3 linked regions of the Pelodiscus sinensis genome follow. The protein of the gene in region 2 purifies or fractionates together with the protein of the main gene of each other region. This does not show direct contact. Links are inferred from orthologs where the notes say so. Each region holds a gene or a part of one and is shown on either strand. Other genes may lie near its edges. The genes, in order: CCT5, HDAC6 and PKM.

What was found.
Region 1: the proteins of HDAC6 (region 2) and CCT5 purify together in Homo sapiens (affinity purification with mass spectrometry, with the first as the bait; 3 studies listed by BioGRID). This does not show direct contact. The link is inferred for Pelodiscus sinensis from reciprocal best matches to the Homo sapiens genes HDAC6 and CCT5.
Region 3: the proteins of HDAC6 (region 2) and PKM purify together in Homo sapiens (affinity purification with mass spectrometry, with the first as the bait; 4 studies listed by BioGRID). This does not show direct contact. The link is inferred for Pelodiscus sinensis from reciprocal best matches to the Homo sapiens genes HDAC6 and PKM.

The regions. Positions count from the first base shown.
Region 1 is NC_134712.1:136,033,658-136,037,399, reverse strand, and holds the start of CCT5 (T-complex protein 1 subunit epsilon), read left to right. Parts: upstream 1-1,116; 5' UTR 1,117-1,147; coding exon 1,148-1,252; intron 1,253-3,742. Other genes in the region: ATPSCKMT (ATP synthase subunit C lysine N-methyltransferase), read right to left, coding at 831-865. UniProt on the Homo sapiens protein: Component of the chaperonin-containing T-complex (TRiC), a molecular chaperone complex that assists the folding of actin, tubulin and other proteins upon ATP hydrolysis.
Region 2 is NW_027466031.1:232,763-236,504, forward strand, and holds the start of HDAC6 (protein deacetylase HDAC6), read right to left. Parts: upstream 2,937-3,742; 5' UTR 2,783-2,936; intron 1,510-2,782; 5' UTR 1,405-1,509; coding exon 1,402-1,404; intron 1,280-1,401; coding exon 1,154-1,279; intron 1,030-1,153; coding exon 941-1,029; intron 388-940; coding exon 303-387; intron 188-302; coding exon 147-187; intron 26-146; coding exon 1-25.
Region 3 is NC_134724.1:37,486,746-37,490,487, forward strand, and holds the start of PKM (pyruvate kinase PKM), read right to left. Parts: upstream 2,490-3,742; 5' UTR 2,336-2,489; intron 1,893-2,335; exon of another isoform or gene 1,844-1,892; intron 1-1,843. UniProt on the Homo sapiens protein: Catalyzes the final rate-limiting step of glycolysis by mediating the transfer of a phosphoryl group from phosphoenolpyruvate (PEP) to ADP, generating ATP.

The sequences.
Region 1 (3,742 bases), on a different chromosome or scaffold from region 2:
ACTTAGACTATTATAGCAAAAGCTTCAGAGGGGTAGCCAAGTTAGTCTAACAGAAAAAACAAACGAATAATCTGGTAGTAATTTAAAGACTAACAAAACATGTACATAAAAACAAATGATCTGGCAGCACTTTATAGAGACTAACGAAACATGCAGAAGGTATCATGAGGTTTCGTGGGCACTGTTATCTGAAGAAGTGGGTTGTGCCCACGAAAGCTCAAGATACCAGCTACATATTGTGTTAGTCTTTAAAGTGCTACCAGACTATTTGTTGTTTTTAAAGTTTTTACAATAGCAAAGACAGTGCAAGTGCAAGTGCAGGTGCAGGTTTCCCTCCCTTGTTCCACTTCCGTGCTTCCATCTTGACCAACATCTTCGAGAAGACGAGCACAGCAGCTCACACGCGAAATTCGCGCACACAAGTGGCCGCTCCCCCGCCCTGCAAGTGTGACATGCACCACGCGGGATCCAGCGCCGCTGGGTGGGGCCTGGTGCCAGAGGAGCCATGTGGGCGCGAGACAAGCGCGTGGCCGTTGCGCGAGCAGCGCCCGAGACTGTTAGGACGGCCAGTGTCTAAGCGCCGCACCCGGCTGCCCAGCGCTGCTGACAGTGGTCGGGGCAGGGGGGTGGACAAGGCGACCTGCCCCAGGCCAGCGCCGCCGCCTCACTCACCAGCGCGAGCCTTCAGTAGGCGGGAAATCCCCTTTCGTCCGGAACTCGGCCCGACGCAGGCGCAATGGAGTGGACGATACCACCCGAAACGCGGGGGGCGAGGGGCTGACTTGTGGCAGGCCGTACAGCACTGTAGGGTACCGCGCCCTACATCTCACCGGTAAGTCTCGTTCTGCTCTCGCTGCCGCGCCATGGACACTGCGAATAGGATGTGTGTCGGAGTTCCGTTTAGTGGTCTCTTCCAGTCTAACTTGCGCCCTTCTTTCCGTTAGACGCTTCCAGAAGGGGTCGGCGAGGGCGCCATATTGGTCCCAACTGAGAAATCCTTCCTGCGGTAGCCTACTGCGCGTGCGCGACGCCGACAGGCGGTCACCCGTTACGTTGCGTTACGTTGGGTGTGGGAGCAGCGAGGGGCTAGTGCTCTGTCGGTTGGTGCGAGAGCGGCGCTGAGTGCTTGGCCGCTTGTGGTGGGACCATGTCGGCGATGGGGACTCTCGCGTTCGATGAGTACGGGCGGCCCTTCCTGATCCTCAAGGACCAGGATCGCAAGAGCCGCCTCATGGGGCCGGAGGCCCTCAAGGTAACTGCGCATGCGCCACTGGGGCCCGCCGGCCCCATGTGCTTCCCCCCATCCCGGGCCCGAGCCGCGCCTCCCCCCCCGCCCGCCGGTCGCTAAGCCCCCCCCCCCCGTAAGTTTGGGGCCGCCGGCCCTTCGCGCGTTTCCCTCCCGTAGTCGGGCGGGGCCGGGTCAGGCGGGCGCGGAGCTCCCCCCCCCCACTCCCTGCGCCCCATCATGGCCGCCGCGCCGGGCCCAGCTCCCCGAGCGAAGCCTTTGGTGAAGCCGGGCCAGGCTCTTGCATCGGGAGACCTGCGACGTTCGCTCCTCTGCTGGGGCAGAGACACGCGAAGCCCTTTCGTGTCGGGCCTCCCTTCGTGTCCCTCCTACTGGCTTCCTCTTCCCAGTCTCTTCAAACATCAGCTACTTCAAAGCCACATCTGCTAGCTCGCCTGCTCCTTGAACTGTCCATACTCCCCGCCAGTCAGCCCCATGGAGTCGGATTACATTGCCCACTTATTACCTATTTTAAACAAGCGCCCTTTTACTTTTGGTCATGCTGCCCCATGTTAAACTCTATCAGTTACATGGTTAAACATTTAATCTAGGTACTAGGGATGTGGGGGTATGCTACAGTATCTCTGTGTTTTACATTGGGGGAGTCCCAGCCCTATATACTGTGGATCCCAGTTGCTGGCCCTGCCATTCTGGTGCACCCGGGGTCCTCACAGTGGGCAGAAGCTCGGACCCCAAGCATAGTTGAATCATTAACAGATGTCAATAAGCATGAAGCTTACCAGTTAACTGGTTATACTTTTACATCCCTAGTTATAGCATTGCACTTAATAACTTAGGGTACGTCTAGACTACATGCCTCTGTCGCCAGAGGCATGTAGATTAGGCTACCAGACATAGAAAAATGAAGCGGCGATTTAAATAATCGCCGCTTCATTTAAATTTACATGGCTGCCACGCTGAGCCGACAAACAGCTAATCAGCTGTTTGTCGGCTCAGCGTGATACTCTGGACGCGCGGGTGTCGACATCAAAGGCATTTGTCGACCACACAGGTATGCCTCCTGGGATGAGGTATACCTGGGTGGTCGACAAATGCCTTTGATGTCAACACCCGCGCGTCCAGACTATTGCGCTGAGCCGACAAACAGCTGATCAGCTGTTTGTCAGCTCAGCGCGGCAGCCATGTAAATTTAAATGAAGCGGCGATTATTTAAATCGCCGCTTCATTTTTCTATGTCTGGTAGCCTAATCTACATGCCTCTGGCGACAGAGGCATGTAGTCTAGACGTACCCTAAGTGTAGACCAGAGGTGAGCAAAAGTCTTTCAGTGGGCCGGATTTGGCCCGTCTTGGGCTCTGACCTGGCCTGTGAGGCAATTACAGGCTCTGCCCCCAACAGGCATATGAGGGGGTATCAGGGAGAAAGAGGGCAAGGAGGTCAGGGGCAGTAAAGGAAGGGAGAGGAACCAGGAAGGTTATGGGGTAGGGGTAAGGGAAGGTGCAGGTGCCAGGGGATTGTGGGGTGAAGTTGAAGGGCAAACATGTAGAGAGTAGAGACGGGCACCAGAGAAGAGAGGTAGGGCAGGTGTGTAGTGGAAGGTGTTAGGAGAGGGGATGGGGAGGAGTAGCTACAGATGATCAAAGTGAGGCTAGAGGAGGAGTGGGCACTGGGGGAGAAGAGATGGGTGGGTGCAGAGGAGGGGGTCAGGTTCCAGAAGGACTGAGGGGAGTGGGAAGGGTGGAGCCAGGACAGCAGAGGAGGGTTGAGGGGTGGAGAGAGAGCAAGCATCAGGGGAGCAGATGGGAGGAGGAGAGGGGACATGGCAGCAGAGGGAAAAGGGAGAGGATTATAAGATATTTATTAATAGTGGCCACGCATCTGAACAAGCGCACGTGACCTCAATACTGCTGCACAGGATGAAGTTTGCTCCGCTCATGGGAGGGAAATCTTAGAAGGAACACTTTTCCCAGCTTCTCCCCCCAAGTTAATACAATGCAAATTAAATTAATGCAATTGCAGGATAGTGGCATGGGGGAGTCCTTTGGGAGCCAACCCCATCCCTATTGGTAGGACGGTGGGAGGAGTTCTTAGAGGGGTCACACAACACCCTTTACTTCTGGTCATCTGTCCACCTTGACCCCAGGAGTACTACCTCCAGGGGTGGGACATCTTGTGGCAGGGGCATGGCTAGCATGTCCCTAATTTTGGTTTGGAAAATATGGTCCCCACATCCATGTGGCTCTCCTCTCCGGGAGGGGGAAAGGCTTGCACCGCCCTTGTTCCCCAGGCCAGTCTCTCAGCTCCTATTGTCTGGTTGTTTCTGGCTAGTAGGAGTTGAGGATTGGGCGGGGAGATTACAGGAAACTTCTCCCTCCAGAGCACACAGAGAAGCCCTGCACTGCTGCATCCTGAGGGTCCCGGCAACTGTGAGACTTATCTTGCCCACCCATGACATATCTGTTTGCTGGCTCTTGTTTCATGCTTAGGCTATGTCTAC
Region 2 (3,742 bases):
CTTCACCAGCTCCACGTACCCTGGGCTGAGACACAGAGAGAGAGCGAGCCCCTCGCCCCTGCCTCGCTGGTACCCTCCAGCCCTGCCGTTGCCCCCCTGCTGCCCCGCAGCCCCAGCTGGCCCGCCCCCCCGGCTGCCGTCCGTACCTGTGGACCAGCAGAATCTCTTCCTCTGTAGCCGGCCGGGCCTGTGAGGACAGAGGAGGGAAGTGGGGGGCTGCAGCAGAGCGGGGGGAGGGGCAGCTGGTCTTGGGACACCTCCGGGCAAGGGACAGACCCAGGGGTCCCAGCCCCTCCTCTCACCTCGACTGGGACGCAGCGTTCCCACAGGCCGCTCTGCAGCAGCTTCTCCTGCACGGCCACCAGCCGCTCCGGGCGCTCCGGGAAGCTGGGGGCGAAACGACAGAGCGGGAGAAAGTGGCCGGGGCTGGGGGGCTGGGGAGGGAGGGAGGGGCGCCGGGGGGCAGGGGCTGGGGAGGGAGGGAGGGGCGCCGGGGGGCAGGGGCTGGGGGGCGGGAGTGAGGGGTGGGCGCCGGGGGGCAGGGGCTGGGGGGCGGGAGTGAGGGGTGGGTGCCGGGGGGCAGGGGCTGGGGGGGGGGGCAGGGGCTGGGGAGGGAGGGAGGGAGGGGGCGCCAGGGGGCAGGGGCTGCGGCAGGAGTGAGGGGCGCTGGGGCTGGGGAGGGAGGGAGGGAGGGAGTGAGGGGCGCTGGGGCTGGGGCTGGGGAGGGAGGGAGGGAGTGAGGGGCGCCGGCAGGGCCGGGGGGGCAGGCGATGTGCCCCCCAGAGCGAGGATCCCGGCGCTGGACGGGAGGGGCCCGGGCCCAGATCCCAGATAAGCTAGGGGGCCGGTCGCTGGGGGGGAGGCGGCTCGGGGGCCGTGGTGACTGGCGGGAGGGGTCGCTGGGGTGGGGGTCGTGGCTCCCCCCCCCCCCCCCCCGTACCTGTCATCCCACAGGCAGTGAGACTCTGTGAGCCGCTCGTCAAAGGCCAGGCCCGTCCCCACGGGCACCGTCCCCTCCACGCCCAGGTCCTGGGGGGGACACGACAGTGGAGCCAGGCGCCGGCCCCCCCAGACCCGCTCCCCTTCCCCCCACGGCCAGGGAGCAGGCGCCGCCAGCGGAAAGCCCAGCCCCACGGCCCCCCCCCCCACCTACCAGGCGCCGCAGCCCCGACTCCAGCTCCTCCGTCTCTCTGCTCGCCCGCTGCGCTCGGCCGCGGCGCTTGGTTTCGGGCAGCCCGGGGCTCCGGCGTGGCTGGGGGCCCCTCCGGCCACCTCGCTTCTGGGGGGGAAGCACACGGGGCAGAAGGGGGGGCTTGGACCTCGCCAGCCCCCCCCAGCCCTTGGCAGGCCCAGGCAGCCTCGCGCCCAGAGCCAAGGGCCCCCCCCCAGGGCCAGACTCACCATGGCCGTGTGCTGGGGGGGCAGGTCCCTTCAGGATCGGGAGGGGGGAGCTGGGTCCTTCCTCTGCCAAAGCTTCTCCGCCCAGGGTGTCGCCATGGCGGGGCAGGGCTGGGGGCAAAGGCCGTTAGAGGGGCCAAACCCCGACCCCCCCGGCCTCCACCCTGGGCCGGCGGGGGCTGCGGGGCAGGAGCAAGGGGCACTGGGGAAGGCAATTTTAGGGGGGGCACGGGGTGCAGGGCTGGGAGGCGAAGGGGTGGCAGGGGGTGAGGGGCACAGAGCTGGGGGTGTACAGATGGGGGAAGGGGCGGGGCTGAGGGCAGCAGGGTAGGGGGGCGCTGGGGGCAGTGCTGGGGGGTGAAGGGCGCTGGGGGGCGGGGCAAAGGGGGCAGGGTGGGGGGCGCTGGGGGGACAGTGCTGGGGGGTGAAGGGCGCGGGGGGCGGGGCTGAGGGGGCAGGGTGGAGGTGCTGGGGGGTGGGGCATGGGGGCAGGGTGGGGGGCACTGGGGGGCAGTGCTGGGGGGGTGGGCAGTGCTGGAGGGTGAAGGGCACTGGGGGGCGGGGTGAGGGGGCAGGGTGGGGGGCGCTGGGGGGCAGTGCTGGGGGGTGGAGGGTGCTGGGGGGCAGTGCTGGGGGGTGAAGGGCGCTGGGGGGCGGGGCAAAGGGGGCAGGGTGGGGGGCGCTGGGGGGACAGTGCTGGGGGGTGAAGGGCGCTGGGGGCGGGGCTGAGGGGGCAGGGTGGAGGTGCTGGGGGGTGGGGCATGGGGGCAGGGTGGGGGGCACTGGGGGGCAGTGCTGGGGGGTGGGCAGTGCTGGAGGGTGAAGGGCACTGGGGGGCGGGGTGAGGGGGCAGGGTGGGGGGCAGTGCTGGGGGGCGGAGGGTGCTGGGGGGCAGTGCTGGGGGGTGAAGGGCGCTGGGGGCCGGGGCATGGGGGCAGGGTGGGGGGCGCTGGGGGGCAGTGCTGGGGGTGAAGGGCGCTGGGGGGCGGGGCCGAGGGGGCAGGGTGGGGGCGCTGGGGGGCAGTGCTGGGGGTGAAGGGCGCTGGGGGGCGGGGCCGAGGGGGCAGGGTGGAGGTGCTGGGGGGCGGGGCATGGGGGCAGGGTGGGCGGTGCTGGGGGGCGGGGCCGAGGGGGCAGGGTGGGGGGTGCTGGGGGGCGGGGCATGGGGGCAGGGTGGGGGGTGCTGGGGGGCAGTGCTGGGGGGCGGGGCCGAGGGTGCTGGGGGGCGGGGCAGGGGGGGCAGCGGGCGGGGCCGGAGCAGCAGGCTGTGGGCGGGGCTTGGGGGAGCAGGTCCCAGAGCGCTGCCCCCCCCCCCGGCCCGTGCCCGCGGCACCAGCTGCCCGCCCCGGGTGCCCAGCCACGTGCGCGAGCGGGCTGCTCTCACCTGCCGCGCCCCTGCAGATGGTCTCTCCCTGCCGCGCGCAGCCTGATGGTGTCACCCAGCCCCGTCCCGCCCCGCCCCGCCCCGCCGGGAGATTCCATTCGGAGTAGGGCGGGGGGGGGGAAGATGGCAGAGACCATTGACGGAGGAGGGGGCTGGTCATGACCATTCACCCTGACCTTGGGGGAGATCTGGGCGAAACCAATCACGATGAATGGAGGGGGTGGGGATCCTGGGAGTGGCCATTGGCACTGAGCGGGGGGGAGGGGAGCTGGGAGAGACCATTGACTTGCTGGAAGAAAAATCTCCCTGTTTCTTCACTGGCCTAGGTCGGGGGGGGGGGGATTTACTCCCTTGACCCTGTGACCCTTAATTCTCTTGACCCCTCCCCAGCTTGTTCCCGTGACCCTTCACCCCGGCCTCTATTTTTCCTTGGATTCCCCCCCCCAACCTCTCGGCTCCTTGGGCCTTGGCCCCTTGCCCCCCCCAGGGGAGCTGGGCCCCCTCGGCCTTCCCCTAGTGAAGGGAGCCGCAGGGAGGGCTCCCTAGGTGCTGAGATGCAGCCACCTCTGGGGCAGGGCAGCTGGGGAACAGCCGCATAGAACGTAGTGGGGGAGGGGTGAGGCAGGGAGGGCTTGGCACCAGCAGTGGGCGCTGGGCCTGCCCTGAAGTAGCCATGGGGCTGGGATAGCGAGCCCGACCCCCGCACCAGCGTGTGTCCCGGCTGGAGGGGCCCCCAGCTCTGCGCCGAGCCTGTGTAGCTCCCAGTACTGGGCCCATCTCCAGTGCCCGCCCCGCCCCTTCCCCACATCCCTTTGAAATCCAGTTCCCAGCTCCTCGGCGGAGGCAAGGGCTAACCCCCACCAGGCCATGAGCTGATGGGGCAGATAACGCCCCCTTCCCCTTTTGATCGCTGCGCAGGGGGGCGTGGGAAGCAGGGAGCAGAGCCAGAGATGGGCCGAT
Region 3 (3,742 bases), on a different chromosome or scaffold from region 2:
GTGAGCTATTTTGGGGGAAGGAGAGAGGGGCCAGGTCTGTTCATAAAAGCTCTTTATTTCAAGGGGCAAGCTGCATTTCAATCTTCCTTGGTATATGGCTGTAGAGGAGATACAATTCTAGGATTCTTGAAGTTGAATAAAGTTCTAGTTCTGCTAGGTTTCAGCAACACAAATAAGATTGCTCCTACAAACTGCAGCACTATGTCAGGAATAAAGAGTCACAAAATGCTTGAGTGGCACTGCAGCCATAAGCAGGTTGTACAGAGATTTGATTCTTAGGTAATAAGACACAAGCAGTGTTTTCTGTTACTGTGCTCCATCCCCAAGGAGCTGGGATGCCAGAGCCATGACCATTTAAAAAGGCTGCTCTACTTTTATTAATCTGAGATGACAGCATTGAAGTTCCCACTGGTTAGTAACAAAAGCGCCATTCATGCAAGCCTGACTTTAAAATGAGGGGTTCAAACATGTTCCAAAGGTTTTTATAGTCTTTCGTGAAATACAGATGAATATCAAAATCAATTGGACATGTTTACACAGACATAACACAGGAGAGTTCAGATGGGGCCTTTGCTTGCCTGAGCAATGAAGAGCTGACTAAGTTAGTCACTAACAAGTTTATTGAACTATATACTCATCTAAGTCAGCATTTAGGACACTGATCTTCATAAGGGGAAGTGGTAGTGAACACTCCCTTTCCATTCAATTCAAGCCCTACTCCCAAATAGGATTGACCCACTGCACCTCTGGAAACACTAAACTGAAATACCTTGCAGCTCTGAATCCAATCTTCTTTTTGCAACTTCTATAGCATGGAGCTGCAGCCAGGAACAGTGATTAAGCAAATTACATTTAACCCTTTTTAGCAGCTCTATCTTGTTTCACTGCCCTATCTTCTCTTTCCTCCCCACCCCCACACACTTTAAAAGGCAAGAGTAATTAAGTAGTGAGTATTGCTAGCTAGCTACACTTTAGAAGTATGCACTTTCTTGCAGAGGAAGTGGCCCAAATGGTAGTGCAAGAAAACCCATGTATCTGAACCACACCAAGAATTGTTTTCCAGAGGTGCTAGATCCTAATCTTAAAGAAAGCAAAAAGTATGGAATAAGGCAATGTATTGCAGATATGTCTGCCTCAGGAGCATAGTACATTATAAAGTTCAGCATCCATCAATAGAGGGAGTTTTAAATTTACCAACAACGGAATCTTGTTTAATGAATACAATTAGGAGGGTGTATTTAATTCTCTTTTGGGATACTTGCATGTTCAGTTTACTTTTACACATCACCCACCCAAAAAACCCACAGAAGGAAAGCAGAGGGTTCAAATCCAGGGCCAACAATTCAGGAACTTCAAAAGAAGAGGATTGTGCCCATGAAAGCTCACGATACCATCTACATGTTTTGTTAGCCTTTCCAGTGCTACCAAACTATTCGTTATTTTTTAAAGTTAATTCAAGAACGGTTTTTTGACCAGAGGAACGACATCAGCTGTTGTACTGCAGTTACTGTAGCCGATGAGACCAACATCTCTGAAGCTGCGGTCTCTCAGCCAACCAGGAGGGCTGTTAAGAGCAGTGCTACCTGCACTCCTACCCCTCCACAGGGGTGAACAATCGCAACAGACACCTGTCTCCCTGCTGCAGCAACATGACTCATGACGTTTGCCCACATTTCCTATCAGTTAGGTTGGCCCATTAGACACACTGCAGCAGGGAGGTTGGATTTTTGCCATTTGTACAAGTGCACGGGTAACAGGTCCGGGGGAGTGGCGGAGGACCAGTTGTGTGTCACACTCAGCCACAGGGGACCAGCTGCGTTTCACAGGATACCACCGCGAGGCACTCGTGTGTCCGTGCACGGGAACGCGGGGCCAGGACTCCGTCACGGCAGGTTACCGGCTGGGGAGTGAGTCGGGTCGGTCCTGCTTTGGCCCGGGGGCTGGGCTCGATGCCCGAGGTCTGCCCCAGCCCGGGGGCTGCGAGAGCGGGTGGCCCGCTCAACAGGCTCCGCAGAGCGCGCGCCCCCCCCGCAGCCGCGCACAGCGGCACCCGCTCGGAGGCGCAGAGCGCTGCGGGCCGGCTCGCTGCGCAGCGCAACCCGCCCCCGCCGCCGGGGAGCGCGCAGCCCCCCCGCAGGGCTCCAGGCCGGGCGCGCGGCTCTTTGTCCCGCCTGGCGCGCGCCGGCCCCGGGAGCCGCTCCCCCCCCCCCGGCGCCTCACGTGCTGCCCGCAGGCCGCGGACGCTCAGCGCGCCCCGCGGAGGGGGGGGGAAGCGGGTTCCGCCCCCCCCTTCCAGCGACCCGGTTCCGCGGGCCCGGGCCGGCTCCCCCGTTACCTGCTGCGCCGCCTCACGTCCGTCCGCCCCGAGAGTCTCAGCTTCTCTGCGGCCCGCCCCGCCCGCGACGCGCCTCAAGGTGATCCCGACCGCCCCGCGGATCCCTCCGCCGCCGCCCGCCCCCGGCTCGCGCGGGGAGGCGGAGCCAACGGACTCTTTCGCTGGCGGAGGCACATGCTGCGGCGGGGAGCGGCGAGCTGACAAGCACGCGGGGCGCCGGCCAATGGGGAGGCGCCAAGGGGCTGGGCACGCAGCCTGCGAGTGACAGGGGCAGCGGCGGCCGCAGTTAAAGGGACCGCACCTATTACTGTTACCCCCCATCCCCAGCTCTTAAAGGGGCCGCCTCCCCGATACCCCGTGCGGCAGCAGTATCTCTTGGATGGGCCCCAGCCTCATGCGTTCCCTTCCCCTGCAGCAGCAGCGTCTCCTGGCATGGGGTGGTCCAGCTAAGAGAGCTCCAGGGTGTAGGGCATCCCCAGAGCCCCCCCATCCTGGCCTCACACTGACCCTCTGAGCATAGACCGGGAACGTTGCCCCTGCTGCAGTGCATCTTAATGGGACTGCGCCCCTTGCCCATCCCCCATGGGCCTGCTCAGAGGCCTGGCTGCCCTGCATCCCAGCTGGCAGCCTCTCCTGCCCCGCCCCCTCTCTTTCAAGGCCCTGCAAACCATTTACAAAGCTCTAGTCCCCATTGTTGCTGCTTGTGAATTTTTCCCTTCCCCCTTTTTAAGGAGGGCTCCGGGCTCCTAGAGGGCTCATTGTTAGTGCCAAATGACCATTGAGATCCCAGCTGGAAAGCTGCCCGCTAAAGAATGGATCCAGACATCCCATGACAAAGGGAGAAGAAAGCAAGCTTGATACCCAGTCCAGGCCCCAATGCACAGCCGCATTTTCTCCTCCGAGGCAGGTACAGCAAAGCCCCAAAGCGGAGGCAAGAGCTGCTCTTGAGAATCCTCCAACGGCTAAAGAGGGGAGATTGGGCCCCATGTTGCTGAGTGGCCCCCAATTTCCTTGTCCTAAGTGTGTAGGGTCCTGCAAGGGGTGAAGCTACCCCGATAATGGCTGGTATCAGCAAAAGTGTGTCTCTGACCAGCAGACTGAGAGGATGAGTTTGCAGGGATAGAGCATCCAGTAGAAGCTTCTGACTCATCTGTTCTGGTTTTAAGGTCACATTGTCTTTTCCCAGAGCTGGAAGTAATTCAGATACCTCACTGAGTAATGTAGCACACCCACTTGCTACAGCAGACAACGGTATTCATCATATCACTGCATGTTCATGGGGCTGGATCTCTGAATGTCACAGGAAGACATGCTGGAGAGCAAGAAAAGATTTCTCCCCCCCCCCCCCCCAAACTAATAAAAACCCATATGCCTAGTTAAAAGCTGACATGAGTCACTCCCCAAGCT